Linked DNA regions of Elephas maximus indicus. The protein of the gene in region 2 purifies or fractionates together with the protein of the main gene of each other region. This does not show direct contact. Links are inferred from orthologs where the notes say so. Each region holds a gene or a part of one and is shown on either strand. Other genes may lie near its edges.

What was found.
Region 1: the proteins of PPP1CA (region 2) and KIF18A purify together in Homo sapiens (affinity purification with mass spectrometry; 3 studies listed by BioGRID and IntAct, counting the BioPlex papers as one, with this or other methods). This does not show direct contact. The link is inferred for Elephas maximus indicus from reciprocal best matches to the Homo sapiens genes PPP1CA and KIF18A.
Region 3: the proteins of PPP1CA (region 2) and ADISSP purify together in Homo sapiens (affinity purification with mass spectrometry; 4 studies listed by BioGRID and IntAct, counting the BioPlex papers as one, with this or other methods). This does not show direct contact. The link is inferred for Elephas maximus indicus from reciprocal best matches to the Homo sapiens genes PPP1CA and ADISSP.
Region 4: the proteins of PPP1CA (region 2) and ERBIN purify together in Homo sapiens (affinity purification with mass spectrometry; 3 studies listed by BioGRID and IntAct, counting the BioPlex papers as one, with this or other methods). This does not show direct contact. The link is inferred for Elephas maximus indicus from reciprocal best matches to the Homo sapiens genes PPP1CA and ERBIN.

The regions. Positions count from the first base shown.
Region 1 is NC_064825.1:83,030,748-83,038,068, forward strand, and holds the start of KIF18A (kinesin-like protein KIF18A), read right to left. Parts: upstream 3,015-7,321; 5' UTR 2,795-3,014; intron 1-2,794.
Region 2 is NC_064825.1:130,432,950-130,440,425, forward strand, and holds the start of PPP1CA (serine/threonine-protein phosphatase PP1-alpha catalytic subunit), read right to left. Parts: upstream 3,014-7,476; 5' UTR 2,919-3,013; coding exon 2,864-2,918; intron 2,390-2,863; coding exon 2,258-2,389; intron 2,134-2,257; coding exon 1,903-2,133; intron 1,256-1,902; coding exon 1,151-1,255; intron 694-1,150; coding exon 470-693; intron 386-469; coding exon 251-385; intron 101-250; coding exon 1-100. Other genes in the region: TBC1D10C (carabin), read left to right, coding at 4,359-4,510, 5,263-5,362, 5,800-5,907, 5,992-6,366, 6,962-7,027, 7,182-7,371. UniProt on the Homo sapiens protein: Protein phosphatase that associates with over 200 regulatory proteins to form highly specific holoenzymes which dephosphorylate hundreds of biological targets.
Region 3 is NC_064843.1:42,368,162-42,376,130, forward strand, and holds the start of ADISSP (UPF0687 protein C20orf27 homolog), read right to left. Parts: upstream 3,015-7,969; 5' UTR 2,790-3,014; intron 80-2,789; exon of another isoform or gene 1-79. UniProt on the Homo sapiens protein: Adipocyte-secreted protein (adipokine) that acts as a key regulator for white adipose tissue (WAT) thermogenesis and glucose homeostasis at least in part through activation of protein kinase A (PKA).
Region 4 is NC_064820.1:70,759,845-70,767,726, reverse strand, and holds the start of ERBIN (erbin), read right to left. Parts: upstream 3,007-7,882; 5' UTR 2,325-3,006; intron 1-2,324. UniProt on the Homo sapiens protein: Acts as an adapter for the receptor ERBB2, in epithelia. By binding the unphosphorylated 'Tyr-1248' of receptor ERBB2, it may contribute to stabilize this unphosphorylated state.

The DNA.
Region 1 (7,321 bases), about 47 Mb from region 2:
TTTAATCCCCATGGGATAGCTATAGGTGGAAAATCTACTTGAAGGCACTTAACAACAATCCCCATAAAAATCCTATGATGTAGGTATTATGATTATCCTTGTTTTATAGAGGGAGAAACTGTAGTATAGAAAGATTAAGTTAACTGGCCAAAGTTACACTACTGGAAATAGGAGACATGAGATTTGAACTCAGGCTGCTGAATGTAAAGTCCAATTATTTAATCACTACTCTCCCTGATATAAATATACAACTTCCAGATATTTTCTCATAGAAAAACTTAAAAACATATATTTACCTATTTTTGATAGAAACCTCTGAGCCTAGTATAGGAGCTCATTGAACAAATGTTGAAATCAAACTGAAAGTTTATGATTTCCATGTGTTTGTCAGGTATCTTACAGTAGCCATTTTTTTTTTAAAGCAAATATACTATTATTAGGGAACTCTTGGATTAGATCAACATGGTGATAACTAGTAATAATGAAAAACAATCATTAACATTTGTGTACCCTCTGTGCTAGATGTTATGTTAAACATTTGACATTCATCAAATCATTTAATCCTTATAATAATCATAGAAGGTAGGTCCTATTATTGTCTCCACTTAACAAAAACAGAGATTTAGCCTTAGAAAGGATAAGCAATTTTTCTAAGCTGACATAGCTAATAAGTGGGGAGCCAGAATGAAAACGCATACCCAAATTCAGAATCTATGTTGTTAACAACTAGGCTCTACTCGAATTAGAAGAGAATGCTTCCAAACGAAAGTACAGAAATTTTGGAGAAATTATCCTGGATATGGAGTGATATGGTTATGAATTATTTCTTAAGTACAAACTCAAATCTGAATTAGGTTTGGACTCAGACTTTTTTGGGGGGCTGAAAACTATCCTTGACACTGTCATTTATAATCTCTAACTTAAAACTCACACCACCTTGTTGAAGTAGGTATAATCATAATCTACTGAAGAAATTCAGGTTCTGAAAGTTATAAGGACAGAGATGACATTCAAACTTTTTGATTCCAAGATCAATATTTTCCCATAACACCATACATGTCTTGAAGGGAAGTTTATGGTAGATAATTAGTATCATGCTCTTTTATGGTATTTCAAAAGTAACAACCCTTTTGTAAAGGTAAAGGCAATGGATCCTGTATATCTTTCAGACCCATGTCTGTGAATGGAGCTATAAAAACAGAGTAAGCATATCAATTCAGGAAGAAGCCATACATGCCCTGTAATATGACATATCTCAAGAATAGGTCAGAGAACTTACATTCAGCATCATATTTGATTATGCTGTGTTCGTTTTTTTTTTTAAAGCTGTCACAACATTGGTGCAACAGACATTACTAGCAGCTCTGCATCTAACATCAATAAAATTAAATATGCTATGTAAAAGACTCAATTGAGAGGACTGGGCAAACTGTCAGGGCTTCCAGAACCCAACCACTAATATTTTTCTCCTTTCTTTTGAATAATGTGTTAGAGCCATTGCTTTCTTGACTCACAAGCATCACGGAAAACAAAAGTTCAAATGGCAAGGGTGACATTGACTGCTGGGCTATTTCTTCCTCCTAGTTTTCATATAGTTGGTAGTACAAAAAACATTTTCTTGTGTGCTTTAATTGGCTTGATGTATGTTTATAGTAAGACAAGATGCACTTTAAATTGAAAATATTATATACTTGTAAATCTCTATTCAGTAACTTAAAATAAGATTAGTTATGATTATTAAAGGCAGATACTCTTTATTTTACTGAAACAGTTCTTAAAAAATAATAGAATTTAATAACAAGCACTATCAACTCTTTGGACCTTATATTCCCAAGTACCAGAGTGCAAAAATCCCCCCACAAAACCTAAGGTGGGGGGGGGAAAGGGTGCTGGAATGACACTTAACACATAAAACCTATAGAATGTCTATACATTCTGCCTAATGTTCCACAGCTAATAACCAGTACTACATATTATACAGCAAACTTATTCAGCTCTGGCCAAATAATCTCTTCTTATATAGTAAACAACAGCCAGCCTTGACCTTTCTGTAACTGAGCGCCCAATGAGCAGCTAAAGGAGTTTTGCAGAAACTAAAAATAGACAACAGAAAGACTGATTCTCAGTGCTTAAAGTGTCTTTCATTAGCAGTGCACTTTACCAAAGCAGTATCCCTTCCATACCTGGTCTGATCATCAGTAATCCCGTGAGGCAGTCAGGGGAGGTCTTATCTTGATGCTACAAAAGTAGAAACAGGAGCTTGGGGTGGGCTCCCGATTGACCTGTGCCAGGCTAACAACAGATCTTCACTGGACAAAAATTTTATGTCTTGGCGAACCAGTGTTCTCCATTTGATAGTTAAGCACTGAGTTAGGCTTACTTCTGCGTCTCCAAAGTTGGAGTCTGGAAGGAACTTCATGCTGCAAGGTAGGGGACAACTAAGTGCTATGCCGAAGTCTGGGAAGGGGGGCCAAGATGCCCTTTAAAACTTCCGACTTCCTCTCAGAATTTAAGGCAGGTGATTCCTGCCTTCGTGCTGAGCTGTCAAGGGCTCACCTTAAGGCTAACTCTTGCTCTAGCGCGTTCTCGAGCCCGTCCTTCATTTTACTTTTTCCTCAGGAGCCCTGACAACTCCTCAGCCCCCACCCAACGCTCCGGCGTTTGTCAACAAGCACAACTTGGACCGACCTTTCTTTAGACCTGAAGAGGCGGGACCCTTCGCTCCCAGTGGGGCAGGTCATTAGAAAGAGCAACCCAGAGACCAGAGTTTCCACTTCGCGTGACCCTCACTCACCTCAAGCCCACAAGAGGCCACCGCTACCACTTCACTTTGATACCAGACTCACCGCGCTTCAAAATCAGCCACAAGATTCAAACCCAAGCCAGCTTCCTAAGCGCCTCATTTTATTGGCTGCCGCCTGTGTGACATCATCACGCCGGACGTTGCCGCGGCGCGTGACTGCTTGGCGCCTAGAGATTCAGTGGCGCCGCGCCGGGAAGCGACCCTGCTCCTCGTCGCCGTGGCAACAAGCGCGGCCGTTTCCGGAGGCGGTGGCCGGAGTGGGAGGGGCTAGGCTGGAGCTTCTGGTTGGAGGCAGCCCCCCCGGGATCATCAGTGAGCCTGCAGACCTGTGGGTGCAGGGTCCGGTCTCTGGGTTCAGGGTGTGAGTCAGACGTGTGCGGGTGGAGGTTGGCGTGTGCCCTCTGCTAGGGGGTGAGGCAGAGGCTATTGGTTATGGGCTAATGGGCTCTGGGTGTTTATATTCTCCTTTTCCCTCTGAATAGTGAGGCCTCAAAGACGTCCCATGATCTGGAAAGTGTAGGACCCTGTTCCTTCCAGCCAGGTTCACCTGGGTAGAAATGAGTTCTCTTCACTTTATTTGGAAGTCCAAGGCTTTTGATTGGAGCCCCCAGGCTTCATTTCTGAGGACTCCCAAGCCTACTTCTTTTAGTGCTGACTGAGAAACTTTGGTGTTTGACTGTTTTACATTCTTTCTAATGATGGCATTACGAAATAAAATCCTTTAAAGATGTTAGCCTTTTTCATTATTGGATGAAGGTTTTTTTTTTTTTTAAGTCCCAGGGTGTAGGTAGCTATGTTACTTAAAAATGTACACTTTAAAAAGAGAGAAAAATACCTGGAAAATATGTTTGCTTTGTTAAGATGACTCATTTTTATTTGTTAGAAAATTTTTAATAGTACGACCTGAATTTCATTTTTCTTATTTATATTATTATTGGAAACTCTGGTGACGTAGTGGTTAAGTGCTACGGCTGCTAACCAAAGGGTCGGCAGTTAGAATCCACCAGGCACTCCTTGGAAACTCAATGGGGCAGTTCTACTCTGTCCTATAGGGTCGCTATGAGTTGGAATCGACTCGACGGCACTGGGTTTGGTTTGGTTTTGGATATTATTATCACTGTATTCATTCATTCAGTGAAATTATTGACTGAGCCTATTATGTACGCGCTACGCACTTTTGTAGATTTTAGGGACATGATAGTACACAATATCAAAATCCCCGCCCTCTTGGAGTTCGTATTCTGAAAATTGATTATCACTGTATAAATAGGGTTGCAAAACACTCATGCAGAGTATTAGAAATAAAATAGTGTATGGGAACCCCCAAGATAAATGACATTTATTTCTTATTGAATGTCATTTGGAAGCACTGTGAATTGAATATGGTGCATGTTATATGATTGTTTTTGAACACTGGATAGAGCCTCAATAAAGCTATTACTCTGTAGTTGTATTACATGTATCACTACTCTTTGGTTGTATTACATGTATCTTAACTAATGTAATAGTTATCTGTGTAGTTTGGGGTTTGGTAATAAAATCGAGAAACCTTTTTATTTTAACTCAATATGCACTCACTGTATAGTACTTTGTTGCCTTTGATTTCCAGGCGTTTTATTAATCACTTTACAAATGATATTTAATTCTCAAAACAGTCCATGAGATGTAGGTGCTGTTATCTTCATTTTACTGAGGAAGAAGTTGAAATTTTCAGTTAATCCTTAAAGGAAAACATTTGAGTTGTACAAACCAGCCATTTCAGAGTTGAATCATTTGTCTCTGAAATACATTTTATATTAAGAGCCATTAAAATAATATCTTCACCCGGCCTGAACATGTGCAGATCTTACCAAATTTTTGTAAAATTTCATTAATCATTGGTAAAAAATAGAAGTCTTTTAAATTTTCTAATTTTTGATGCCTATCTAACTTTTGTTAGTTTTTTACATTGTATGATAAGGTTTACTAGTCTCACAGATGTTTCTACACCTGAACCAAGTACTTGCTTTACATTTAAATTTAAATCCCATTTTACACTTGCCATTTAGCAGAGTTCAGAGGGTGAGGTATGGACTCTTAAGAAATTGTACATATAGTTAAAGCAGAGCAATTCTGACATTACAACCAAAGCTGTTTCTCTTGTCAGCTGACTTGTTAACTTGGCAAGATATGAAGGTGACCTAACAGACAGGATTAGAGAATGGCTTATTTTGTAATGAAATGGAGGAAAAAGAACAAAAACTTCTAAAACAAGTATAGCTACTGAGACAGAAATGCCCACATTTTATTAGAAATTGGAACATAAAACAGTGTTGCTAGAACATCGAAATTGAACATAAGTTCTTAGCAAACTGAAGAGAGTAGAAATTAGGTATAAAAATGGAGCGAGATTTAAAGTTTCCTCAGACATTAAGACAACAGCAACAACATAAAAACGGTAAAGGTGAATTTAAACGTGGAAATGGTGGGATCTTATTTATGTTCTCAGGAACTACGTTTGGAAACCCCAGCACCTGCAAGACAGCTGGGCACTGGAAGCAGCGGAACGAAAGACAGACGGTCCTCAGTTGCTGGGGCGGACGTGGGCCCAATTTGTCCGTCGTCGCCAAGTTTCCCCCAGGGCTGGGATCTAGGCGTGCGGCAAGTTTAGGTTCTTCGACCTCGTTGTGACCGTCACTGGCCTGAGTCAGAGGCCGATTCAGGTGAGAAGATGGCTGAGTCCCAGGAGCTCTCCTAGAGCCGCCCTTCTGGGGGAACTCCTGGGCTCCCCGGCTTCGACAGGAGCAAAGGAAACACGCGACCCTGCTCTCGCTTCCTCCCCCTCAACATTCATTCCTTCTGGGCTGAGAAGTTTCCAAACAGGGTTTCCTCGTCAGAGTAGAACTCGGAGACGAATTCTCAAGCAAAACAGTGCATTGCTCCCTTTCCTTGGAACTTCCTACTTTCACTTTCTCCGCATTCGGGTTCCAGCCTCCAGGTCGCGTTTTTGGCCTCGGGCGTTAAGTTTTTAGACAGCTTTTCTTTGCAGGGGAAAGTGGACAACCTTTGAAGACATAGTCAGCAAAGGCACACTCACCTTTGTGCTACCACAGTTAAAAGTAACCAGGCCACTTCTGTGGTCTCATACCGTAAACGGAACTTTGCTCCAGGAGAAAAGTTTAGTGACTTAACCCGTAGAACCACAGAATCAGCTCTAAAGACCCTATTTCCTGAATTCCTGCTTATTTCCTGTGTCCAGAAGGGATTAAACAATCTTAAATCGTTTAGGGTATCTGGCTTTTAGCAACTGCGGTAGGGCTCTGGGTTGTCTGGTAGTAGACTGGGCTGCAGACAAGAGGGAAGGGGCCCCACTGAAAGGTTGTTTCCTTCCATTCTTTGGGAGGTATTCCAGGAAAAAAAAAAAAAAAAAAACAGAGGAAAATGAATTATTTGTGGTCCTTTCCCTCATGTTGATCCTCTCCCTCATGGCCCACGTTATTGGCCAATTATTTAATAGTAAAATGCTCAGACTTTGTACGTTGAGCATAGTTGAATAAATGTCTAGAAATTGACTGCAGTAGAAGGAAATTAAATGCTGTTGATAGCAGTATTTGTTCTATCTACTCTTCTACTTGTATTTTTCCTTGTGGTTCTGATTCCTGTATTGGAATTGATACTCCTTTTTCTAAAAATTATCAAAATCTATTAAATATTCTGAATTCCACCTATACATTGTATGCCCTCTTTTGAGTACTGCACAGCATACTGTTATTTTCAAGTGGAGCAGAATCAAGCAATAGGATGTTGACTTCTTTAAAAAAAAAATTGAATAATACGTAATATACTGTGAACAGTCAGTATAATTAAAGTAACATTACATTATAGAAGTGCATTTTTTTTTTTTTATGTTTAACCCTGGTGGCCTAGTGTTTAAGTGCTATGGCTACTAACCAAAAGGTCAGCAGTTCCAACTTACCAAGCGCTCCTTAGAAACTAGAGGGGAGTTCTACCTGTCCTATAAGGTCACTCTGAGTTGGAATTGACTCAAGGGCAACCAGTTTGGGTTTTTTTGGTTTTATCTGTAAAATGGGAATAATAGTAGTAACTACCTTGTAAAGTTGAGGAAACCCTGGTGGCATAGTGGTGGAGAGCTATGGATGCTAACCAAAAAGGTCAGCAGTTTGAATCTACCAGGCACTCCTTGGAAACCCTATGGGGCAGTTTTACTCTGTCCTATAGGGTCTCTATGAGTTGGCAACGGTTTTTTTTGTTAAGTTGTGATAAGAATTGAATGAGTTAGTATATACAGTGTGCTCAGAATAGTTACTGGTATAAAACCAAATCAAAGCCAGTGCTGTTGAGTCGATTCCAACTCGTAGTGACCCTATAGGACAGAGTAGAACTGCCCCATAGAATTAGTTATTATTTTTTGTTAGGTTGTTATATTCTGTTGAGTTGAGTGTGACTCATAGTGACCCTGCGTGCAACAGAATGAAACACTGCCTGATCCTGCACCATCCTCACAATCATTGCTTTGTT
Region 2 (7,476 bases):
CTTTGGCAGAATTGCGGGGTGGGGTGATGGGCCGGCCTCCAGGATTCAGGCCGCTGAACTGCCCGTATTTCCCCTTGTTCTTGTCGGCGGGTTTGAGGATCTACAAGAGACGGAACTAGTCAGACTCTCGGGCTGGGCCACAGGGCCTAGTGCTCACCCCTACAGCCACCTGGAAGACGCACCTGAGAGCCCATCACTCCCCGCCCCCCCGGGAGAAGCACATGAGGTCACCCCCCCTCCCTACAGCCACCTGGAAGGAGCACATAAGAGTCTCATCCACACTCATCATGGCACCAGCGTTGTCAAACTCGCCACAGTAGTTAGGAGCTGAGAAAAGTGTCACCAGCTGCCGCTTGGCAAAGAACTCGTAGCCGTCTTCCACCACCTGGGCAAGGGCAGGGATAAGGAGTTTGGTGCGGAAATGCCCTGCCCGTCCCCACCCCCTGCGGACCCAGCACTGTCCGCCCACCTGATGCGCCCGGCAAATGAGGTCCAAGTCATGTTTGTGCAGGAACTTGGCCACCACCTCGGCCCCGAAGGTAAAGGAGACACCGCGGTCGTTCTCGCCCCAGCCCTGCACGTCCTTGTCGGGGTCGGACCACAGCAGGTCGCACAGCAGGCCCTGGTCAGGCACATCGGTGGGCCGCATGATCCGCCGGATCTGCTCCATGGATTGCAGGTCTGGGGATAGGCCTGGGAGACACACGCGGCTCGATGCCTCAACAAGCCTCCACCAGGGAGCCCACCTCCAGGCAGCTGCACCAACCACCTCACCTTCCCCACCACCACCACCACCACCGCCAGGCCCAGGCAGGCCTCTTCATCCTCCCCTCAGCATTTACCAATCGCTGAGCACAGGGGCAAACAAACAAGAATTCCCTGCCCTCAAGGAATGCCCACAGCTCTCTGGAAAAAGGAGATAAGCAAATTCCACCACAGTGCACCCTAACAGAGGGTGGTGAGGCAACTTCTTGGAAAAAGTGACATCTAAGACAACACGCAAGCCGTTCCAGGCGACAGGACACTCGCCCTCCAGCGAACCATGCTTCATCCCAAGGCGGTGTGGCTGGCCCTGCCTTCGCAGGCATTCACTCCCTCAGCAGCACGACGCCGGCTGTAAGAAGGCGCTCGCCAGCCCCCAGGCCCGCACCTCCATGGCAGCAGAAAATCTTCTCATCCACAATGGCCGCGATGGGCAGGCAGTTGAAGCAGTCGGTGAAGGTTTTCCACAGCTTGATGTTGTAGCGTCTCTTGCCTGCTTGGAGGAAAGGGCTGGCTCTGAGAAGGCTGTTCACTGACCCCACCCCACCCCAGCCTGGGTCTCTGGGCCCCCCAGGGTGCTGCGTGGGCCATCCAGACCCAGCTGGGAGAAGAGAGTGAAAGGCAAGGGGGCTAACATTCCCCACGCTGCCTACCACTCCTCCAGGATGGAGTTCTAAAGCAGCAGAGTCCACAGGAACGCCCAAGTTCCAATCCAGAACCTCAGGGTTGGTACATCCTCCGCCTAACACACACCCACCCACCCCAACCCCATGAGCAGGGCCAGGCAAGACCTGATCTGGTTTAGCTCAGCTTCTGGCCAGCAGAGTCCAAGCCAGTTAGACGTCCTGAGTATTTAAGTAATGGGTGCACTGGAGGTGGGAGTGTCACCAGGCAGAGCCTCCAAGAAAAGCAGTACGAATTCAAATTGCCAGCAACCATTCACCAAGCCCCTCCTGAGTGTATCCCCTCCAGGGAGGGCGGGCCAGGCAGACATGCCCTGAACCAGACCCTGCCTTTGCGGAGCTCAGTCTAGCGGGAATCTGGCAGGCAGTATGGCTAACGCCAAGCCAATATGAGGGTTCCGCTGAACAGAGAGGAGGGCATTTGAGCTGGGCAGTGCCCAGACCCCGGACCACTCACACTCGTCATAGAAGCCGTAGATGCGGTTGATGCTGGCACACTCGTGGTTCCCACGGAGCAGGAAAAAGTTCTCGGGGTACTTGATCTTATAGGCCAGCAGCAGACAGATGGTCTCCAGAGACTGCTTGCCCCGGTCCACGTAGTCCCCCAGGAAGAGGTAGTTGCTCTCCGGAGGAAAGCCGCCGTACTCAAACAACCGCAGAAGGTCATAGTACTGGCCGTGGATGTCACCTGTGACCCCGGGAATCGCGTCAGTGCCAGGTGCAGGGTTTGCAAGTGAAGCGGGGTCAGGTTAGGCTCCAGAGAGGAGGGACCCAGACACTTGAGGGGCCTATGCCACTTTCAGGGGGCTCACCGCATATCTTGAGGGGCGCCTCCAGCTCCAGAAGAATGGGCTGGCTCAGGAAGATCTCCCTGGACTTGAGACACAGACCACGGATCTCGTTCTCTGTCAGCTGGACATTCTTCCCAGGCCGTGAGCCTTGCACTGGGGGAGAAAAGGGCGTCAGGACTCTGGGTCTTCAGGCAGGAGGGTGGGCGACACGGGGTCCCACGGTACCCCTCCTGGCCCAGGGACAGATGTTGCTGTCGCCTGGGACCTCGGCCTCAAGCCCCCCAAGACAGGACCCCACTACCCTCAGGGCCCTGTACATGGGGTTGCTGTGCGCCAGGCCCGCCGCCCCACACCTCAGAGCGCGGGACCCCACCCCGGTCTAGGCGCCTCAGGTCCCGCACGCACCCGAGACCCCCGGCCCTGGAGAGGGGGCTGCTCCGCGAGCCGGAGCGGGCCTCGGACCCCCCAGGCGTGCCCGCGCGTGGGGGAGCGGCGGTGGGCCGGGACCTCGGGGCGTCCCCGCCCAGGCTACGCAGGCCCGGGAGGGGCAGGCTCGCCGCGCGCCACTTCCGGGCCGGGCGGGGGGCCAAGGCGGGGCGGGCGCGACCCTGCCCGGCCCCCGCTCACCTTCCAGAAGGCGCCCGATGATGGAGTCCAAGTTGAGCTTCTCGGTGTCGGACATGGCGGCGCCGCCGCTCCGACCCTGCCGCTCCGGGCCCGCTCCTGCCGCCCGCCCTCCTGCTGCCTCCTTCCGGCCTGGCGCTCTTTCCGCCCGCCCGGGCCGCCCCCGCGCGCCTCCCGCCCCGCCTCGGCCGCCGCCCGGCCCGCGCCCGCGCCCGCGCCCGCGCCCGCGCCCGCGCCCGCGCCCCGCGCTCTAGCGCCCCCTCCGGACGGGAGGCGCGGCGCCGCCACGGCCTTGGAGGCCGGGCCTCGGCGGTGGGCGGGCTTTGGCGGGGTGGGGTGGAGCCTGGCTGTGGCTTGGGGGCGTGGTTTGTGGGGCGTGGCCACGTCTGGTCCCGCCCCCCGAGGAGTCACGGAGCCCGGTTCTGAGGTCTCTCACCAGAAGTCCTATGGAAGTTGTTTTTCCCTTTTAGACTGAACAGCCCTTTTTCCACCGCTGCCCTGTGGTGGTTTGGCCCTGGGGCGAGGGTGGTGCGAGCGCATTAATAACCGCGACAAACCCAGCCCTGTCCGTCTCCCCAAACGTGGCGGGTTGAGTCCTAGAAGTTCAGAAAAGGAAACTGAGGCTTCGAGATAGCAAAGGGCTGACCTGAGACAGTGATCTCACATTCACGGAGGGTCTCATTCTCCTAAGTCTCCCTGGCAACCCCCGGGCGGCCGACCAAGCCCGAAGACCACCTGTCACTGACCTTCAAACCCATTCTTGTCCACACCGAACCAGAGTAGTGCTGGCTAAATGAAAGTCCTGTAATTACCTTGTGAGTAATTACCTTGTGAGTAGCACAGTTAAACAATGTGCACGCATTATGTACGTGTTAAAAGCGTAACTTTGTAAAGAGCAAACAGTAAATAAGCCCTAATTCTCATTGGAGCCCCACCTTGGACGTCTTACATGCCAGGAATCTAAATCGGAGGCGACACCTCCTCTCTACCTCTCTACCTAGCAGACCCGCGCCACACAGAAGGCATAGAAACCCACATCTGCGGCCCCGTGGGAGGTTGGGAGGGGCCGTGGCTCACAGGGCACCAGGGCAGGCAGGAAGAGCCTCAGAGAGGAAGGGGTGACCTCCCTACTTGGGAGGGGCCCCTCAGCGCGCTGCTGAAGCTAGGGTTGAGGAGGAAGTGAGAGGAGGAGGTGAGGTGCAGCCCAGAGGTGAGCTGGGCTGGTGGGGGCAGCAGCTGGGCCTGGGTCTGGATCTTTGTACAGAGGTCTGGCCTTGCTGCCATTTCAGGGCCTAGTCACCAGCCCCTGACTCCGAAAAAGAGGGAACCCAGGGGCCTTGGTGAGATACCCTGAAACCTACCCCTCCGACTCAACATCTAGGCCCTGGGGCTGGGGCCTGGCTGGCTGTGAGCCCCGAACCCAGACGGGTCGGGAACTGCCCTTTACCCTGGCTCTCCCCGCATCTTGCAGCCGGTGGCATCTGGGGTCGGGGGCAGCATGGCCCAGGCCCTAGGGGAGGACCTGGTGCAGCCTACCGAGCTGCAGGATGACTCCAGCTCCTTGGGGTCCGACTCAGAGCTGAGTGGGCCCGGCCCATATCGCCAGGCTGACCGCTATGGCTTCATCGGCGGAGGCTCAGCAGAGCCATGGTAAGTGGGGGGGGGGGGGGGGGGAGGTATAGAGTGCCGGGGCTGAGGATGGGGCCTGAGGGCTGGATTCTGGAATGACGTCCAACTTTGAGCATCCTGGGAGGGTCTGGCAGTAGGGAATGGGACTCAGTCGGTATCACCTCTTTTCAAGCTCCAGGTAGAACCCTGAGGCAGGAATGGCTGGGAGGAAATCCCTATATGTCTCTTGTACCCTCCCAAATCTCTGAGGGTTGACACCCACCACTGGGGCTGAACATCCTTCTGCTTTTAACCTCTGGCACAAGAATCCCAGATCCAAACCAAAGAACCCACAATATCTCCTTCCTCCTTCCCCTAAACGTACAGACAGGAAAACCAGTCCAGAGACAGGTACTTGCCTGAGGTCACACAGTAGATTAGAGACCTAAACTCTCCAACTCAGGACTCCTGGCATCCAGTCCAGGGCTCTGTCCAACTCACCTCCCCTGTGACTTATCTGTCCCTGTCCTGGGGGGAAAGCTAGACAACCCTTCCCCCAACAGGCACTCCCACACCCCTTCAGTCTCTCCTGTTTCCGCCCACATCAGAGCCACATCCTTTCCTATCCCCATGACAACCATTGGCAACTCCTGGGTCACAGGTCACTCCCTGGGGCTCCTGAGAGATCCCAGGCCCAGGAGCTGGGCTTGCCCAGGTAGCATAGAGGGTGGCAGGTGGTGTGGGCTCCTGGGAACAGCTGTCCAGCGTCTGGATACTGTGCCATGTGCCCCCAGGCCAGGCCAACCCCCTGCAGACCTTATCCGCCAGCGGGAGATGAAGTGGGTGGAGATGACCTCGCACTGGGAGAAGACCATGTCCCGGCGGTACAAGAAGGTGAGGGGGACAGTGGGTCCACCCAGGCCTCCTTATCCGACCCCCTATGCTTCACTTGCCCCCACCCCCACAAAAGGTACCCATCCTGTGACCCAGCGTCTCCTATCTTTGCTCCCAACCACCCAAAGTGGCCCCTTTCCAACAACAAGTCATGTGGCCTCATGGAACCCCAGGCCTCTCCCACAGGAGGGGACGGATTACCCAATAAAAAGATACACACGGGCTTACTGGTGCTCATTTACTAATCTGTAGTGTTCAGTTTCTCATGAGGCTGGGTCTCTGTCCAGAGCACTGGCCTTTCTGCCACTTCACATGTGAAACCTGTGTGAGATTGTGCACTAAAGATTAGTAAGTAAACACAATTAAGGCAGGGGATACCTTGCTTACTGTAAGCCAGCGTGTACCTTGCTTACTGGTTAATCAGCCTCTGCCCACAGGTGAAGATACAGTGCCGGAAAGGCATCCCCTCAGCCCTGAGGGCCAGGTGCTGGCCCCTGCTGTGCGGGGCCCACATCTGTCAGGAGAACAGCCCTGGAACCTATCAGGTGAGGGACTTGGCTGAGCTCCTGCCTCCCCTTCCCAGAGCTCCTTTGAGCCCTCACACCCACCTGCCTGCTTGCCCACCACAGGAGCTGGCCTCGGCCCCTGGAGACCCCCAGTGGATGGAGACCATCGGTAGGGACCTGCACCGCCAGTTCCCTCTGCACGAGATGTTTGTCTCACCCCAGGGTCATGGGTACGAACCAGTGATGTCCAGGAACCCCACCCCAGCCCCCTGCCCCTGCATCTCAGGGGAGCTGGCAAGGCCCAGGAAGGCTGAGGCCCGGGGAGAGGCTACCTGGGGGGAAGGGTGTCTGGGGACTGGCCCTAACGAGGTCTCCTGGCACAGGCAGCAGGGGCTCCTGCAGGTCCTCAAGGCCTACACCTTGTATCGGCCAGAACAGGGCTACTGCCAGGCCCAGGGCCCTGTGGCGGCCGTCCTGCTCATGCACCTGCCTCCGGAGGTGAGTGGCCCTGGGCCCTGCTCCAGGGACCTGAGACCCTGACCCCAAATCTAGTGATCCAGGCCCCCCGTGGTCCTGAGCCCTGGACCTATGACCACCAACCCCGGGGCCTCTGGCTTCAGGTACCTGGATCTTTGACTCCCAGACCCTGTCTGCGTGGCCCAGGCATCATGACTACCAACATTAGGGACCTTCAACCCCAATGACCTTGACTCCAGGAACCTGGGATCCTTGAGCCCTAACCCTTACCCCAGTGATCCAGGAGTCTGGGCCTTATCGCCTTGACCTCATGACTCCTGTGACCCTGTGACCATGATCCCTGACCCCAGGAACCCAGGACTTGAACTTTGGGACCCTTCCAACCACGGTACCCTCAAATTCAACACCCTGAGCCCTATGACTTCCAACCCCTTAAAGCTATCATCAGGCCCCTAGCTTAGGCACAGGGGGAGGCTTTGGGAAAGAGCCTACCAGGCACTGAGCAGGGTAAGGGCAGCCCTGAGTCCCTCAGTCCTAGGTTTCTAGGCCCCATTCCCCTTCCTCCTGCCCTGTGTTCCTCTTGAGGCGGACACTTATGGCTGGCCCTCCTCCTCAGGAGGCCTTCTGGTGCCTGGTGCAGATCTGTGAGGTCTACCTCCCCGGCTACTATGGGCCGCACATGGTGAGAGGTGGGATGGGGGCCCCCGAGGCTGGGGAGGGTGCGATGGGGAGCCAGCATGGCTAGGAGGGGCCGGGCAGGCAGGGGGAGGGCCTGGGGGCAGAGGAGGCCTGGGCTGGGGTGGGGGACTGATGGCTGGCTGACAACGGGGCTGCAGGAGGCAGTGCAGCTGGATGCTGAGGTGTTTGCGGCTCTGCTGCGGAAGCTTCTCCCGAGGGTGCACAAGCACCTACAGCAGGTGGGCGTCGGGCCCCTGCTCTACCTGCCCGAGTGGTTCCTGTGCCTCTTCGCCCGCTCCCTGCCCTTCCCCACGGTGCTGCGCATCTGGGACGCCTTCCTCAGCGAGGGTGAGTGGGGTCGGCGTTCGCTGGCCGGGGAAGCCTTGGCGGGGCACACAGGGAGTGAGCGGCCCAGCTCGGGGTCCGGCAGCTCTGCTGCTGCCAACCCTGGTC
Region 3 (7,969 bases), on a different chromosome or scaffold from region 2:
TACGGTCTTGTCCAGGGAACTACTAGGCCCCAAGCGAGCCCAAGGCTGGCCCTACCTCCAGCCTCCTCCTGTGTCAGCCCAATCCTCAGCTTGCCCCAAGTGGCACAGTCCTTCCCACCTCCCACCCGTCCCACCCCCAGGCAATAGGGAGATGATCAGGAGCGTGGGCTCCAGAGCCCAGCAGTCCTGGTTCAAATTCAGGCTCTGGCCCTTGCTGGCCACGTGACTGGGGGCAAATAACTTCAATTCTCTGACCTTGGTTTCCTCATCTGTAACACAGGAATAAGCGGCAGCCTCTCCCTCACAGGGCTCAGTGAACACTAACCCACAGGGTGCGGCAAGTAGAGCTGCTGCCTGAAGCTCTGTAACGACACGTTCCCCCAGCGTGTCCCCCCACCTCTGTGAAAGCAAACCCCAAAGGCTGGTTTCTGAAGCAACAACAACTTCAGGAAGGCACTGGCAGAGGTGCTTCAGGCTCTTCCCGCAACAGCCAGGAAGGGCCCTCAGGGTAGGCTCCAGGGACTTCAGCCTTCTCAGAAAACAGCCCAAGGATTGAAAAGACCTCCCTCCTCCTTCTCTCCTCCTGCCCTCCCTACTCCTGGCAACCAGGCCCCCAGCAGGGCCAGAGAGAAGGCTGCTTGGAGCCCCTGTTCCTCCCAACCAGAGGATCCAGGTGCCATCCGGACTGGGTCTCCACCCTCTGTCCTGATCACAAGGAAGATGTGGAGAATGTGCATCCTAGGAAATGCCACCAGGGAGGAACATGGTGCCCCCCTCAAAAAATAAAAAAAATGACAACTGCCCCTGCCTTTGATGGGCTATCAACAGGTCAAGGGTAGGACCCTAAACAGTCATAGATAGGAAGGGCTGGAAAGTTGGGACAAGGACCTTAAGGGCTTCTGTTGCTCTCAGTTGCTCTCAGGGAAAATGGGGAGAACTCCCCTCTGGGGGACAGAGAGCTTTAGAAATAAAGGCTAGTTCCAGGCTACTCGGCCCAGGCAGCACTCAGCCAGGCCCAGGGGAGCGTCTGGCCTGAGGAACAGGCTCACAGGCACCGCAAGTGGGCAGACAGATGGACGGTCACACAGGAACCCAGAGTTCTCAGCACCCTAGACTCCAGCCCTGGAGGGCGCTAGTTGCTACTGCAGGTGTCCAGTGCTGGGCCCAAGGCTGCGGACTGGAGGAAGGGCTAAAGCAACAACAGTCTATCCACAGCAAAGCAGAGCTCAGGAAGCCGCCGCTCACCCCTATAGCTGTACTCCCCACACCACCTGCCCCAGAGACAGCTCTCAAATCCAAGGCATCGTGGGGCAACCCAGATTGTTCTCCCCACCATTGTGTGGTCGGGCTATGCCCCCAACCTCTCAAGGCCTTGCTCCTCATTTATTCCTCAATCTCCATTCTCAGCCTGTTCCAAGGACTTTGGGCCAGGAACTCTATAACCTCCCACCCTTCTCACCTCTCCCTTCCCCTCCCAACCTCAAACACTCAGTCCAGCAGAAGCCCCATCCAGCCTCCCATTAAATCTCAGGCCTATAAAGGGATCGCTGCCCATGGAGGACTTGAGACAGGGTCACAGTGACCTCCTGACTCCCAGGATCTGATACAGGACTGGGCACACAACAGGGTCCCTGTATACCTAGAACAAGGCCTGGAAAGGCAAGGCTGGAGGTCAGGTGTAGTTGTGAAGGCTTCACATAAACTCAGTCTTGATGCGACCTCATTTTCCCTTTCCTCCAGATAAGCCAAGGGTGCAAAGCTAAGTATGGGTGTTCTCTCTCTCACAAAAGGTGGGGTGCGGGGGGGGGGATGTTGAACTGGGGAAAGGATCTCCCCATCCCACACCCTCCTGTCTCCCCAAGAAGCGCTGCCATCCTCTGTACAGCATCCTTCCATCTCCTCATAAACACACCCCCAGCTAGAGGGTGCTTAGGTTCCCCTAGCCTCCAGACTGCCTGCCCCTCCCAGGCCCCTCCCTGGGCCTGTGGTCCTGGGGACCCAAGTAGAGGCCAGGCCAGGGGTCAGGGGAAGGGGGAAACAGCTGCCTCTGACCTTCCTCAGCCCCTGGGGCAGAGAAACACCCTTCCTGATTCCCCAGTGCCAAGATTCAAGAGGAAAGGAACCTAAAGCCTATCTTCTCCGTCCAGCAGAACCCCTGCTCAACTAACCGCAACACAGGTTCGAATCCCTTCTGGTGCATGACACAGGGAGCCGGCAGTGGCACCAGGAGCCGGCAGTGGCACCAGGAGCCCCGGACGTAGGACCCTGTATCCTCGCCTCTCCCGCCGCCATCCTGGTGGGTGTGGCGCTCCCATTCAGCCCCATTATCATCTTCTCGCAGACAGAATCGCTGGACGTCCTCTCATTATACCCCTGCGAGGCAGAGGTTCTGTCCCTCAGAGATAACCTGGGGCGCTTCCCACCTTCACCTCGGCTGACGCAGGAGTCTTGGGAGCTCCCGTCCCCCGATATCACCGCTCCCCTTCCCAGGGGTGCCGAGACCGCGGAGGCTCAGAGTTACTACTCGTCCAAGGTCACACAAAGAGGCGGTGGCAGTGGCGGGGGGGTGTCGGGGCTGACCCCATTACGCCCCTGCCCTCACTGTGACACCCCTGCCCCCAACAGCGCCCCGCGGAGAACACCCTTGCCCCACCAACTAACGGTCACCCACGTCTCCGGGTTCTGTCATCTCCCCACCTCAGGGGCCCGGGAAGCTCTCCAGAGCCCGGCCCCCCCAATGGAGCCCCCCGCCCCAGTCCCTCCCCGACAGCCGACGGGGTCCCCAGTACCTTCTGCCTAGGACGGGGCCGGGACCGGGAGGGGATCTAGGCGAGCGAGGCGGAACCGGCAGGCGGCAGAGGAAGGTCAGTCTCGCCAAGCGGGGCACACCCCGGGGCTGGGCTGGGCCAGGACTACAGCCGCAGCGACGGTGGCAGCAGCGGCGGCGGCAGCAGCGGCGGCGGCAACAGCGGCGGCAGCGGCGGGGGCCCAGCGCAGAGCACTAGCAGACAGCCCGCGCCGCGCCGCCCGCCTCACCGGCACGCCTCCGCCTACGCCCATTGGTCGGTCCGAGGGGCTGGGCGAGAGCCTCTGCCGACCAATGAGCAGGCGCCAGAGAACCGCCAACAGGCGATATGCCGCCAGAGTCACGTGCCGGAGGCGCCGCGACTGCGCTTTGCGAGTCCGAGCCAACCAAGGCCCGGCGAGTTCTCGCGATGAAGACAGCCGGGCCGTCCTGACCAGGCCTGGTGCCCGGAGGGGCAGAAGGAAAGGGAGGTGGGAGGAGCCTCCTGGTAGGCCCCGCCCCCGCCCCACCTCCGGCGGTGCAGCTTGCACCTCCTGCCTTGGCCTCCACCTGGGAGGTGCCCTCCGTGGACCCTGTACCCTCGGGCGGCAGTCGGACAAAGCTTGGGCCGAAATGCTAGGTTCAGAGGCAGGTCACCTTTCTCCCTAGGCTCCCACGCCCTCCTCGGCAACTGATACGGGCATCACTAGGTCCTGTCCCAAAAGGCCCTGAAAAACCAAAACCCGGCGCCGTCGAGTCGATTCCGACTCATAGCGATCATATTGGACAGAGTAGAACTGCCCCTAGAGTTTCCAAAGAGCACCTGGTGGATTCCAACTGCCAACCCTTTGTTTAGCAGTCGTAGCACTTAACCACTACACCACCAGGGTTTCCTCCAGGCCCTGAGGAACCCTCCATTCTTCCCCCTGTGACCCTCGGCCTCTTCCTCCTCCACCCCATACACCTGCCTCGGAGGAGGCGCTCCTGCTTGGACCTGACACAAGTCCTCGGAGCCCCGCCCGGCCCGGAATAAGCTTCAGAACAAAGAAAGCACGTGGGGGTGGGGGTTGGAAGAGACTGTGCAGGCGCCCCCGGGGACCTCAGCCTCTGCTCTCAATCTCCATGGAGGCAGTCGCCATGGCAGCGAGATGCGCCTAGCTCGGCGCCGTGGGGTGGGATGTGGGCGCCTCCACCGCGCGAGGGAACGAGAGGCGTGGTTCTCGGATCTTCAGGGGTCCCAACAGCAGCCCCACCTGCCCATCCGTGAGCCCACCCCTCCACCCCGCCCTCCGGTTCCGCCTGCGGTAGACAGGTTCCCAAGTGCCCGCGGGGAGCTGCGCAAAGCTTGGGGCTCCCCTTCCAACGTGACTAGGGGGGAGATGGCTTGGGCGGCTGGGGGCCCCGCTTCCTTTCAGTAGGGCCGGGATTGCGGCCTTTGGAGAGCCCTCAAGGCTTCCACCCTCTGGATCTCTGGCTCGCTGCGGCCCCTAATCTATATCCCAATCTCCGGCCTGCATGCAGTTGGCAAATTAATCTTCCTGAGCTATTGTTTCCACCGCCACCCTCCCCGGCTCCAAACAGTCCCCCGACTGTCTCTAGCTAGCAGAGCTTCGCAAACTTTTTAGCAGCACCTTGGGTAAATCGTGCGCACTCTGGCGTTTGAGATGTGGGCATCCAGCGCCGCCGACACTGGGAGCTTTCCACGGCCTGATCCCAAGTGACCTACTCCTGCCAGAGGCTTTTGCCCTCTTACACCCCTGTCGCATGGGCCCTGCTGTGCTCCCCAACTGTATTCCCATCTCTATTCTTTTCTTCAGAAACCGTGGTGGTGTAGTGATTAAGAGCTACAGCTGCCAACCAAAAGGTCAGCAGTTCGAATCCACCAGGAGCTCGTTGGAAACTATGGGGCAGTTCTACTTTGTCCTGTAGGGTCGCTATGAGTCAGAATTGACTCAATGGCAAAGGGTTTTTATTCTTTTCCTCAAGTCCTAAAGTTGGTAGACAGTGGGCCCAAAGTAGCCTGCAGATTTTGTTAAGCCTACCTGGAGCTTTTTTTTTTTTTTGGATTCCAGATTTCTAGGCTTCTTTGGAAATACCAGATTTAGCAACACAGGTTCACTTTCTGCCCTTGCACCAAACTCTGGCCCTGAGTGGTAGGGCCACTCCAATTTATTATATAACAAAACTGATTACCCGCCGTGTCTAATCCAACTCATGGCAACTCCGTGTGTATCGGAGTAGAACTGTGCTCCAGAGAATTTTCAATGACTGTGACCTTTCAGAAACATCACCAGGCCTTTCTTCCAAGGTACCTCTGGGTGGTTTGAACGGCCAGCCTTTAAGCTAATAACCCAGTTCTTAACAGTTTGTACCACCTTAAAAAAAAAAAAAAAAGCCCACTGCCATGGAGTCAATTCAGACTCACAGTGACCCTATGGGCCCCCAATTTACTGTATAGTCTCTACCACTCCCTGTTTCCTCACCTTTGTTTTTCCTTCCAGGTCTGTGCAGGCATTTCACTTTGTGATCCTGCCCTCCTCCTTTTACTACCCTCCCACCTGGAATGCCCTTCCCACTCTCCTTTCATACACAAAACACCCTTCCTTCAAATCCAGGTTAACGCCTACCTTTTTTTTTTTTTTTTTATGAAGTCTTTCTCCTCACAACCATCTTTGGTGTGGGCTGTGGAAAACACACAGACTAGCAGCCTGGGGCTATTTCCTTACTGGCAATTCCTTGTAACAAATATTTACTGTGTGTATATGGTAAGCAAGCAACTGTACTAGGCTCTGTGGAGTTGAAAGCACTCACAGCTTCGTGTGGGAGGCACACCCCACAAAAACAGCCGTGGTATTCTCCCTTCCAAGTACTCTTCATACTGCTAAGTGGTGGGCAGTCTGGTTCACTGGCCAACTGGAAGGACCTGCAATACTGAGTTCCCCATGCCTGGGGATACTACAGGCTCCCAGGGAAGTCCCCAGAGCCACAGTGGGTACGGATAGTTCTGGAAAGTCTCCAGAGGAAGAAAGAAAAGGAAGGAAATGACCTCTTTGTGCAGGGTCTAATGTACATGGTTGCCCCACTGCTGCCCAATGGGCCTGTGTACCCAGAAGAGGGTGTGTCAACATCAACGTGATGCTGAGGCCCTGGGACTTCCTGTGCAAAGGGCCTTACTAGAGGGAAGCCCTAGGCCTCTGCCAGGCTTCCTTGAGATGGGGGCAGTATGGTAAGGAATTAGGAACACTCCGAGTTAGGAGAGTAAGTTGAGCACATACAGGACATCTTCCCCAGCTGTAAACGCATGGTATTCTGGATTCTATTACTTTTAATAATAAAAAACAACTATGACCACTTTGGAAAACTGTTTGGCAGTGCCTAATAAAGCTGATAAATACCAATCCTATGACCCAGCAATTCCACTCTTAAGTATACAGCAAGACACATGTATACAGGTATTTATGGCAGTGCTATTGTAATAGCCCTAAACTGGAAATTACCCAAATATCCATCAACAATAGAAAATAAATAAATTGTGCTCTATTCATACTTGGAACCCTGGTGGTGCAGTGGTGAAGAGCACGGCTTCTAACCAAAAGGTTGGCAGTTCGAATCCACCAGCTAGCCTCTCTTTAGAAACCCTATGGGGCAGTTCTATTTGGTCCTATAAGGTTGCTATGAGTCAGAATCAACTTGACAGCAATGGGGTTGTTTGTTTGTTTTAATCCATACAAAGGTATTGTTATGGATTGAATTGTGTCCCCCCAAAATAAATTTTGGAATCCTAACCCCTATACCTGTGGTTGTAATCCCATTTGGGAATAGAGTTTTCTTATCAGTGTAGGGTGTATCTGAAATCTAACCATTTCTGAGACACGAATAGAGCAGATTAGGCACAGAGAAGTAAGCACAAATGAAGGGGAAGGTAGGTGTCACATGGAAATTGCCAGGGAACCAAGGAATGCAGGGGCTGCAGAAACAGAAAGAGATATTGCCCCGGAGACAACAGAGAGAGAGCCTTTCCCTAGAGTCAGTGTCCCAAATTCAGACTTCTAGCCTCCTAAACTGTGAGAAAATACATTTCTCTTCATTGAGCCACTCACTTCTGGTATTTCTGTCGTAGTAGCACTGGCTAAGACAGGTATGTTATACAATAGTAACAAATAACAATCTACTGAATACATACAACAACATAGATGACTTCTGTAGATATAATATCAAGCAAAAGAAGTCCAACACAAAAATAATATATACTGTATTGTACATTCTAGCACGTGTCTTTAAGTGAATGTGTGTGCATTTATCTTGAGTAGAGTGAACTACATTTCCCAGAATTCCCTTTAATGTATGTTTTTTATTTAGGACGGATCACAAGAGACATTCTTGAATGAGATTTGGAGAGTAGAAGAAAAGCAGTGGCATATTGTTTTTTACACTTGGAAGGTTGGGGCAGAAGCTTTGTGGCCCAGGCATATTGTTACTGGTGAGCTGGCTAACCTCATTGACTTGGGGTAGTAGCTGGGCCTTCAACTACTCCACCTGATTCCTGAGCCAGATATGTGTTTAGCTCTATGATGAAGGCTTCCAGCTTCTCCTGTAGGACACCTACACCACCAAGGTTGGAGTCAGTGAGACCCAACATGGGTTCCAGTTTGTCCTCCAGAGGTTTGGCTTATGCTCATGGATTCAAACTTGTCCTCTCTTCCCACAAATTTATATCCATCCGCCCTTGTCAATTGTGGACTTTAAGCTCCAGCATCAGATGCAAAAACAACAGCCATACAGAGAACGTTCAACCAGCTCCCACAATTACATGAAGTTAAATCCCTGTAACAAATCCTTATTCTTCTCTGATTGAACTCTGGTACAATAGCATAGGCATATTTAATTTTTTTATAAGAAACTGTCAAACAGTTTTGTGAAATAGTTGTACTAATTTATACTCCCATCAGCAGACTATGAGAGTTTCAATTGCTTCACATCCTAACCGACATAAAAAAAAGAACCCTGCACTGTGCAACCTGGTTAGTTCCACCTTAACCTGGCACTCTGTTCCAGTTGCTAGAATTCTGTTATTGACAAAAAGCTCACTTTTTTTTTAAATTGGTCACCAAGATCTGTAAATTTTATTTCTCAATGATATTTTATTTTATTGTGCTTTAGGTGAAGGTTTACCACACAAATTAG
Region 4 (7,882 bases), on a different chromosome or scaffold from region 2:
TAAAAATTTGGTTTCCATATTTGAGCCTCCACAAACTTTCATATGTGGAAAATTTCCAATAGCTTGATCACAAGCAGCAGGCTGACTTCGTATCTTACTACTTGAAATGATTAGTTGACGGATGAGTTAAATACATCACTAATGAAAACATGATTACCTTCAACAAACAGCCATTAAATATGTATTTTGTGCAATATAAGCAAAACACTTTGGAAGTACTCTATATTTGCTAATTTAATCCAAGAAAACCCACGATACTAAGAATATCCAAATTTTTGAAGCCATTTAAAATACTTGAACTGATTGTCTCTCTAAAACAAGTATCTTTTCAAACCTTTGTCACTATATTTTTAAAAAAGAGTTTAAAATATTTATTGTTTGACAAGATTAAAACCTAAAATTCATTCATAAACCTAAAATTCAACACTAAACTCATAGAATTCTAAGTGAACCACAAATTACACCTTGCTGAGGGGGAAAAAAAGGACCCAAACACAGATACAAAGGTGAGCACCTCACTTTTAAAAATGTGTTGCCTGCATCTAAACATACTACTATTCCCTCAACAATGAAAAAAAGTCAAGAACTATAGCTTATAACCGGTTTTAAATATTTAGGTGCTACAATTTTTTTTTTAAATAAAATTTACTAATATAGAGAAACATCTTCACAAAGTTAAGTCTCTGTAAAAGATTTGCTCTATTAAGACTTTGGTACTCTGAGGCCAAGTATAAGCCATATAAGGAAACTGAAGTTCAATGTCATTTATTTTGTTCCGCTCTTTCAGATGCCCAAGAATAACCTCTTCCACTGCCTAACCATACATTCCAAAATCACAAAGTAAATCAGTAATGCATTTTAAACTCCTTGATAAAGCTAGTTTGACGTAATAATAATTGCTTGGTGGTTCACAAACACACACAGGTCTAGAGACTAGGCTCTGGGAAAATATTAAAACGATACATACTAAAAATTAAAAGATTCACTTTTTGAAATGTGGTTAGTAAAGTAACAAAGAACAAGCTGTGAAATACTTGATTCTGATTTTTAAGATCACCTCTTCTTTGAACTAAAGAAAGGCAACTTTTTCCTCAGGTTTCCGGTAACTACTTGAGGTCTCATGGGCAAGCAAAACATAAATTTATAAAGATACACCTACCAACGGAATACTGTATTTATCCAATATTTATTCAAAAGCACAGTATATTATCTTCACCCCCCTTTACCACAAAAGTACCGGGAAAAGCTAAACTTCAAAACACAGACACAGTAAAACACCACTGAAAAAACAATCCGGGTTTCCGGCAACCAAAACTAGTTTTATCTAAGAAGACAACCCATTGGTTCAGAAGTGTTCATAACTCTGACTGGTGGAACGTCTGCCATGCTTCATGAATCTCTCCCCCTCAGTAGGTACCTGGCATTAAGCAGAACCTGGTAAAAACATTTGTGGCAATACAAAAATGTAAATACTGCACTATTCAAAAAGTACTGCTTTGTATCAAAATCAATGTGACTTCCACGAAAGTCCTTTTACTTCTCTTCCTACACATTCGGTTCTCAGTTGCAAAGAAGTCCTGGCACGCAAATCAAACCAGTTACAGGTGCGTTGTTTTTTGTTTTTTTTTTTAAGTATACCTCTCTTCATCCATAACCCCTACCCCCTCCTTTTTCTTCCTACTAGGACAGTTACAGGAAAAATCTAACAGATACTTGCTTTCAATTAACGAAATAAGTATTATAAGGTTCTAAACGTCTGAAAGGAACAAGTTATTACCTAAAGAAATATATTACCCGCCCAGAAAAACGATTAAGAATGGCAACGCTTTTTTGTTTTTGTTAATAAGCTCCAATATATTTATAAGGGCTTGAACTACAAAGTCTCTGTATATAATTAACCAAAATAATCGGTAACAGTATGAACAAATGTGGCTGCCATCTCTTAAAAGCGAACCACTCGCTGCAGCGACCTTTCTTCCAAAACAAGAGTTGCCAGACTCAGCAACTTAATAAAAAAAATATACATTGTATATGTTCAGGAAAAGTAAAACTTCTGCACCTTGTGCTAAACAAAGGCACTCTTTCTTCGGACTGCAGAGAACTTTTCGTCCCACCGCATTCTTAAAATCTTTTAAAATAACCAGAGCCTAGATGGTAGAGGGGAAAAAAGTGGGGGGGGGGGGGAACCTCAGTACTATGTAACAACTAAACTATATTCGATATTACAAGAGAATTTAGGGCAACTTTGCGGAAAAGTGAGAAACACTAAAGTCTTTCCTGGCCCACGAACTTTGTGACTTCTAGACACTTTTCGTGAAAATTACCTTTCGGTCGGGCAGTGTCTCAGGGCAGCTTTTTCAAGGCTTCGCCTGACATGATTTCCTTTCCTTCATGAGTCACTTTGGATCCAGTCGAATTTCTCCCTCCGGTGAGAGCGGATGTGGAGCGGCCTCCCGCAGTAAGAAGAGTAGGTTGCTTTGGTGGGGGTTGGGATGCGGGCTGGTTTCCGGGTCTCGAGTTTTGCAGGAGTTTCCCAGCCCCAAGTAGGCTCTCCGCAGGGGGGGGAGACTTCTCACTCGTGACACGCCCGGAATTACCGTGCGAAACTCACTTCCTGCCTCGGCGAGAAGCAGGATCCAGCTCCGTCCAGGGGAACCCGGAAAACCAGCTCCCCGCACTCCGGGGAGGGGGCGTCCGCGGGGAGCCTGGGGCTCGGGCCCCGGGCGCCCCGTACACCCGACGGAGGCGGAACCCGGCCGACGCGGTACTAGACGCCGCCGAGGTGCTCGGCGAGCCTCGGCCGCACTAGGCCGCCACCTCCTCTTCGCTGCCGCCGCCCCCAGAGCCGGGCGGCGGGGTTATTGTCTCGATAGCGCCTGCCGCGCCCTTCGCCCGCGCTGCTGCCGCCGCCCGGAGCCGGAACCGAGGGGCCGGGGAGACTCGCTGGCGGACCCCTCCCCGGGCCGTCCGTCGGGCTGTCCGTCCTTCCGTCCGTCCCTCCCCGCCTTCCCTTCCCCGTCCTCGGACCCTCTTCTGCTCCCTCCCCGGTTTTCCCGCCGCCGTCCCTTCGCTCCCCTCAGCGCTCTTCTTCCCCAGCGGCTGTGGCTCCCCCAAGAAGCGCAGGGGGAGGGGACAGCCGGCGGCGTCTCCTCACGAGCTCGTGGGGCCGCGGCAGGCGCCGAGGCTGCGTCCCGCGCTGCCGCGCCACATTCACTCGAGCTAGGGACAGCGAGGAGAGGGGAGGGGAGGGGAGGGAGGGAGAGGAGAGAAAGGAGGAGGAAGGGGCTGGGGTGGAGAGGAGTTACTGCCTCACAGGCCGCGACAGCAACAGCGCCACCGCCCCGGCGAGGTGGAAGCAGCAGCGCGCGGCGGGGGCGGGGCGGCCTCCCGCCGTCTTCGCCCCAACCGCCAACAGCCGGGCTGGAGGTCGGCGCGAGCCAGTGGCTGCTCGCGGGGGCGGGCGGCCGACGTCGACGGCGCCGGGGGGCGGCGGGCGAGGGGCAGCGGGGCCGTGGGGGAGGGGCTGTCGGCGGCCGAGGGTTAGCAAGTGAGTCGCTGCGCGGCGAAGGGCCCCGGGGAGGCCTATCTGCCTCTCCCCAGCCCGCCCCACGACCCCGCACACACCCGCTCCTGAGCGGTCCGAGGGGAGTGGCGGTGCAGACGCGGACCCTGACCGGCTCCTCGCAGCGCCGCGCTGAGCCCCGGAGACCGAGAGCCCACAGGCCTCCGCCGCCCCAGCTGACTGAGTTTCTTTGTACGACAGTAATCGGTGCGGAGAGGTTGTCCAAGTCCAACCCCGATTTGAAGGCTGCAGGTATCTCTTTCAACTGCAGCACTCCAACTTCCGCTAATGGCACGCTCAGGTTGCAGGAAACCACAGCGGCATTTCGGTGAAGCTTCCCACGCTGGCCCTTGCTCGGAGCTTGCTCCCACAGCCACCCAGCTGGGGCTCCTCCAGTTCTCAGCCTCACACCGGCAGGGAGACAAAGCTGGCGCTGGAAGGAGGAAAATGGCCCGCGAAATTGCCTCAAGATAGTGCCTTTGTTTGAAGAAACATTGGATATACTCCGAATGCGACGTAGGCTTCCAACCCCAGCGGTTTTGGTGGTGCAGTGAATTGCGTTGGCCCTAATAATTCAGCCTGGCAGGGTTTGCGTTTATTGCGGAGAGAGATTTTTAAGGATTGTGTCAACACATATGGCACAGAAATCCTCAACCATAACATCGCACTGTTTTTTGCAGTTGCTGCTTTAGATACCTTAACAGGCAAGACGGCTTTGTTTTACCCGGAGAAGAAAAGATACTGAGCAAACCACACACCCCACCCCCTACCCCCGCTGTGCTTAACTGTGTACAGTGATGGTAATTAGTCTCTGGGTCCCTGAAGTCACTGGTTCAGTTCTTCCGTCTGCGTTACAGAGATAATTATTTATTACCAAGTATGAATAAAGAGTTGAATACCCTGCAGATGATTTTTGGCGCGCATCCAACGGGAGGAGTTCATTAAAAACCATCAAAGAATCATTTACCAAAGTGAGTTGTATACTTGTGAAAAGCACTTGAAATAACCCTAAAGATACTCAGGACATTCTACTAGGGGCGGGAGCATTTTAACTAACCCCACCTCCCACCTCTAACCCCCCATTGCTGGAATTAACCCTGGTAAAGGAGCCGTTATAGGTTGCTATGAGTCGGAATCGACTTGACGCCAACGGGTATAGGAGCTCTGGTGGCTAGTAGTTAAGAGCTGGGCTGCTAACCAAAAAGTCGGCAGTTCGAATCCACCATCCGCTCCTCGGAAACTGTATGGGGCAGTTCTACTCCGACGGCAACGGGTTTGGTTTTGGTATTAGTTCCTTAATGTAGAGCAGAAGTTGAAGATTTACTAATAATATCAATACCAGATTGTTCAGGCTTATTCAGTGCTTAACTGGAAGTAAGAGTGTTGTAACTAGAATAGGAAACAGCAACCATATATGCCAAGCGAGGTATCCATTTTATATGAATAAGAATCTTAGCCATTGTATAAAATTTAAAGTTAGCATATTATATGATCAATTTTTAAATCCTCATGAGAAAAGATTTCTTCCTCACTTCCAAAATCTCCTGTGAGTCTGAACAGAGCCGGATGTTCTAGCTATGAACTGAAAGGATCAGTCCCCTAAATCATTCCAGGGTGAAGAATCTCCCATACCAGAGACCAGCTGGATCTTGGAATTAGAATGCTAAATCTAGTCTCAAGTTGATTCAACCAAAACCTGTTGCCTTCAAGTCATTTCCGACTCATAGCAACCCTATAGGACAGAATAGAACGGCTCCATAGGGTTTCCAAAGAGTAGCTGGTGGATTCAAACTGCCAACCTTTTGGTTAGCACCCGAACTCTTAACCACTAAGCTGCCAGGGTTTCCCAGGTTGATTCAAGAGCCCTTTAAATCTTGGGGTGTCCAAAGTAAACCTAACCACCACCACCACTGCAAACCTAAATAAGTAGAACTAGACCACATCCCTAGGCTAAGACCTGCCCTGTCCTAGTCATTTTTTACTTGAACTCATACTCAGGACCAACCTGGCTAACCATCATTCAGGCTACAGAAGTCCCTATAACCCAAAAGCCCTCCTTCAGCTCACCTGAAATTCTGCCATTGGGGTTTTTTCCCTTTGAGTAGTTTCATCCTCTGGCACAAAATCATAATCCTGGAAAATGTAATATTTTAAGCCTTATTAGTTATTTAGATCTAATTCATCAGATTATTTCCCAAAAGCAGATTTGATGGGAGGGAAATGGAAATAATACATGCTGAGGCTGAGTATGTAGGAGAGGGAAATGTGGTTTCATTCCTTGGAATAATGTATGAAGTATACGATTAAAAAAAAAAAAAAACGATTAGAGACAATAAAATGACTCCCTGTTGATTGTTAAATAAGTGTTGCTTACTCATAATATAAGAATGAGCCCCAAAACACTGTTCTTCAAGGGTGGAAGCCAGGATACACTCGTCAATAGTTATCTATGTTTTGTCAAATATTTCTTTCATAATCCCTTTATAAAGTAGGCAATTGGTTCTTCGAGAACTGTACCTTCAGCAGTGATTCTGCATCTGTACTCATAGAAAATGGTGAAATGACAGCTATATAATCAGGGTATATGACTCATCTTTGCTATTCATCGCTGACCACTTACTTCTAACTCATATGAACAGCACATACAGATACAGCCAAATCGTGTAGTTGTTCTTTTTTATAACCAGGCATTCCTGCTCCATGCTTTACAGATTAGTTTCTTATGAAATTTCTCCCTCAAGACCCTGAACTAAAATGGACTTCACTTTTCAATCATGATTAAAAGAACTAAAGCCCCACCCTAAACAAGCCTTCCTAACTGTGATTGTGTAATGATTAACCGATTGTGTAATGATTAGCTTGATCTTCTCCATTGTTATTCTCTAAATGATTCTTTGCAAAAAGCAAAGGAATCCTTTAGGATTCTTCTTCCCAAAGGTTGAACTCAGGAAAGGAATTACTGCCTAATAGAGATAAGCCGTACTTCTTAAGGAGATGCCTTAAGGCTTTAATCATTCCATGGAATACACACAGCTCCCATCAGAAAAAAAAGTACCGGGGTATAAGGCCAGGTGCTTTTAAAAGGGTCCCTCTATCATTTCCCCAAACCAGCTGAGCAGCTATGCAGAAGCATTAGAGAGACAAAAGTAGCAGGAGGAAAGAAAAGGTTTGGGGTGATAATTCTTCTTTTCTCCTTTTTTCAACCCCTTGTAAAGAGTTGGTTACCTAAAATCAAATTTTTCATCATAGTGGTGTTTGGAGAAGATCAATCTCAGACCAGAGTACGGTTACATTCAAAAGAAGTCAAGAAGCACCGTTGTTCTTAGGTGTCATCAAGTCGGTTCTGACTCAAAGTGACCCTACGTACAAAAGAATGAAACACCGTCCAGTCCTGTGCCATCCTCACAATCCTTACTATGCTTGAGCATATCATTGCAGCCACTGTGTCAGTCCACCTTGTTGGGGATCTTCCTCTTTTTCATTGACCCTCTACTTTCCCAAGCATGATGTTCTTCTTCAGGAACTGGTCCCTTCCAATAACGTGTCCAAAGTATGTCAGAGGAAGTCTCATCCATCATCCTCGCTTCTAAGGAATATTCTGGCTGTATTTCTTCCAAGACATATTTGTTCATTCTTCTGGCAGACCATGGTATATTCAGTATTCTTCACCAACACCATAATTCAAAGTATCAGTTCTTCTTTGGTCTTCCTTATTCATTGTCCACCTTTCACATGCATATTAGGCAATTAAAAACACCATGACTTGGGTCAGGTGCACCTTACTTCTCAAAGTGATCTCTTTGTTTTTTAACACTTTATAGATGTCTTTTGTAGCAGGTTTGCCCAATGCAATGCATCGTTTGATTTCTGGACTGCTGTTCCCATGGGTGTTGATTGTGGATCAAAGTAAAATGAAATCCTTCACAATGTCAGTGGTTTCTCCATTTACTAAGATGTTGATTATTGGTCCGGTTGTGAGGTTTTTGTTTTATGTTGAGGTGTAATCCATACTGAAGTCCTCTTCACTTTCAGCAAGCAAAGTTGTGTCATCTGCATATCACGGGTTGTTAATTAGTCTTCCTCAAATCCTGATGCCACATTCTTCTTCATATAGTCGGGCTTCTCGGGTTATTTGTGTAGCATACATATTAAATAAGTATGGTGAAAGCATTCCTCCCTGACACACAAGTCTGTCTTAGAAGAAGTATTGCCAGAATACTCATTAAAGGCAAGGATGGCGAGACTACAAGGGACTAGTCCCTGGAGACGGACATCATGCATGGTAGAGTAGAGGGTCAGTGAAAAAGAGGAAGGCCCTCA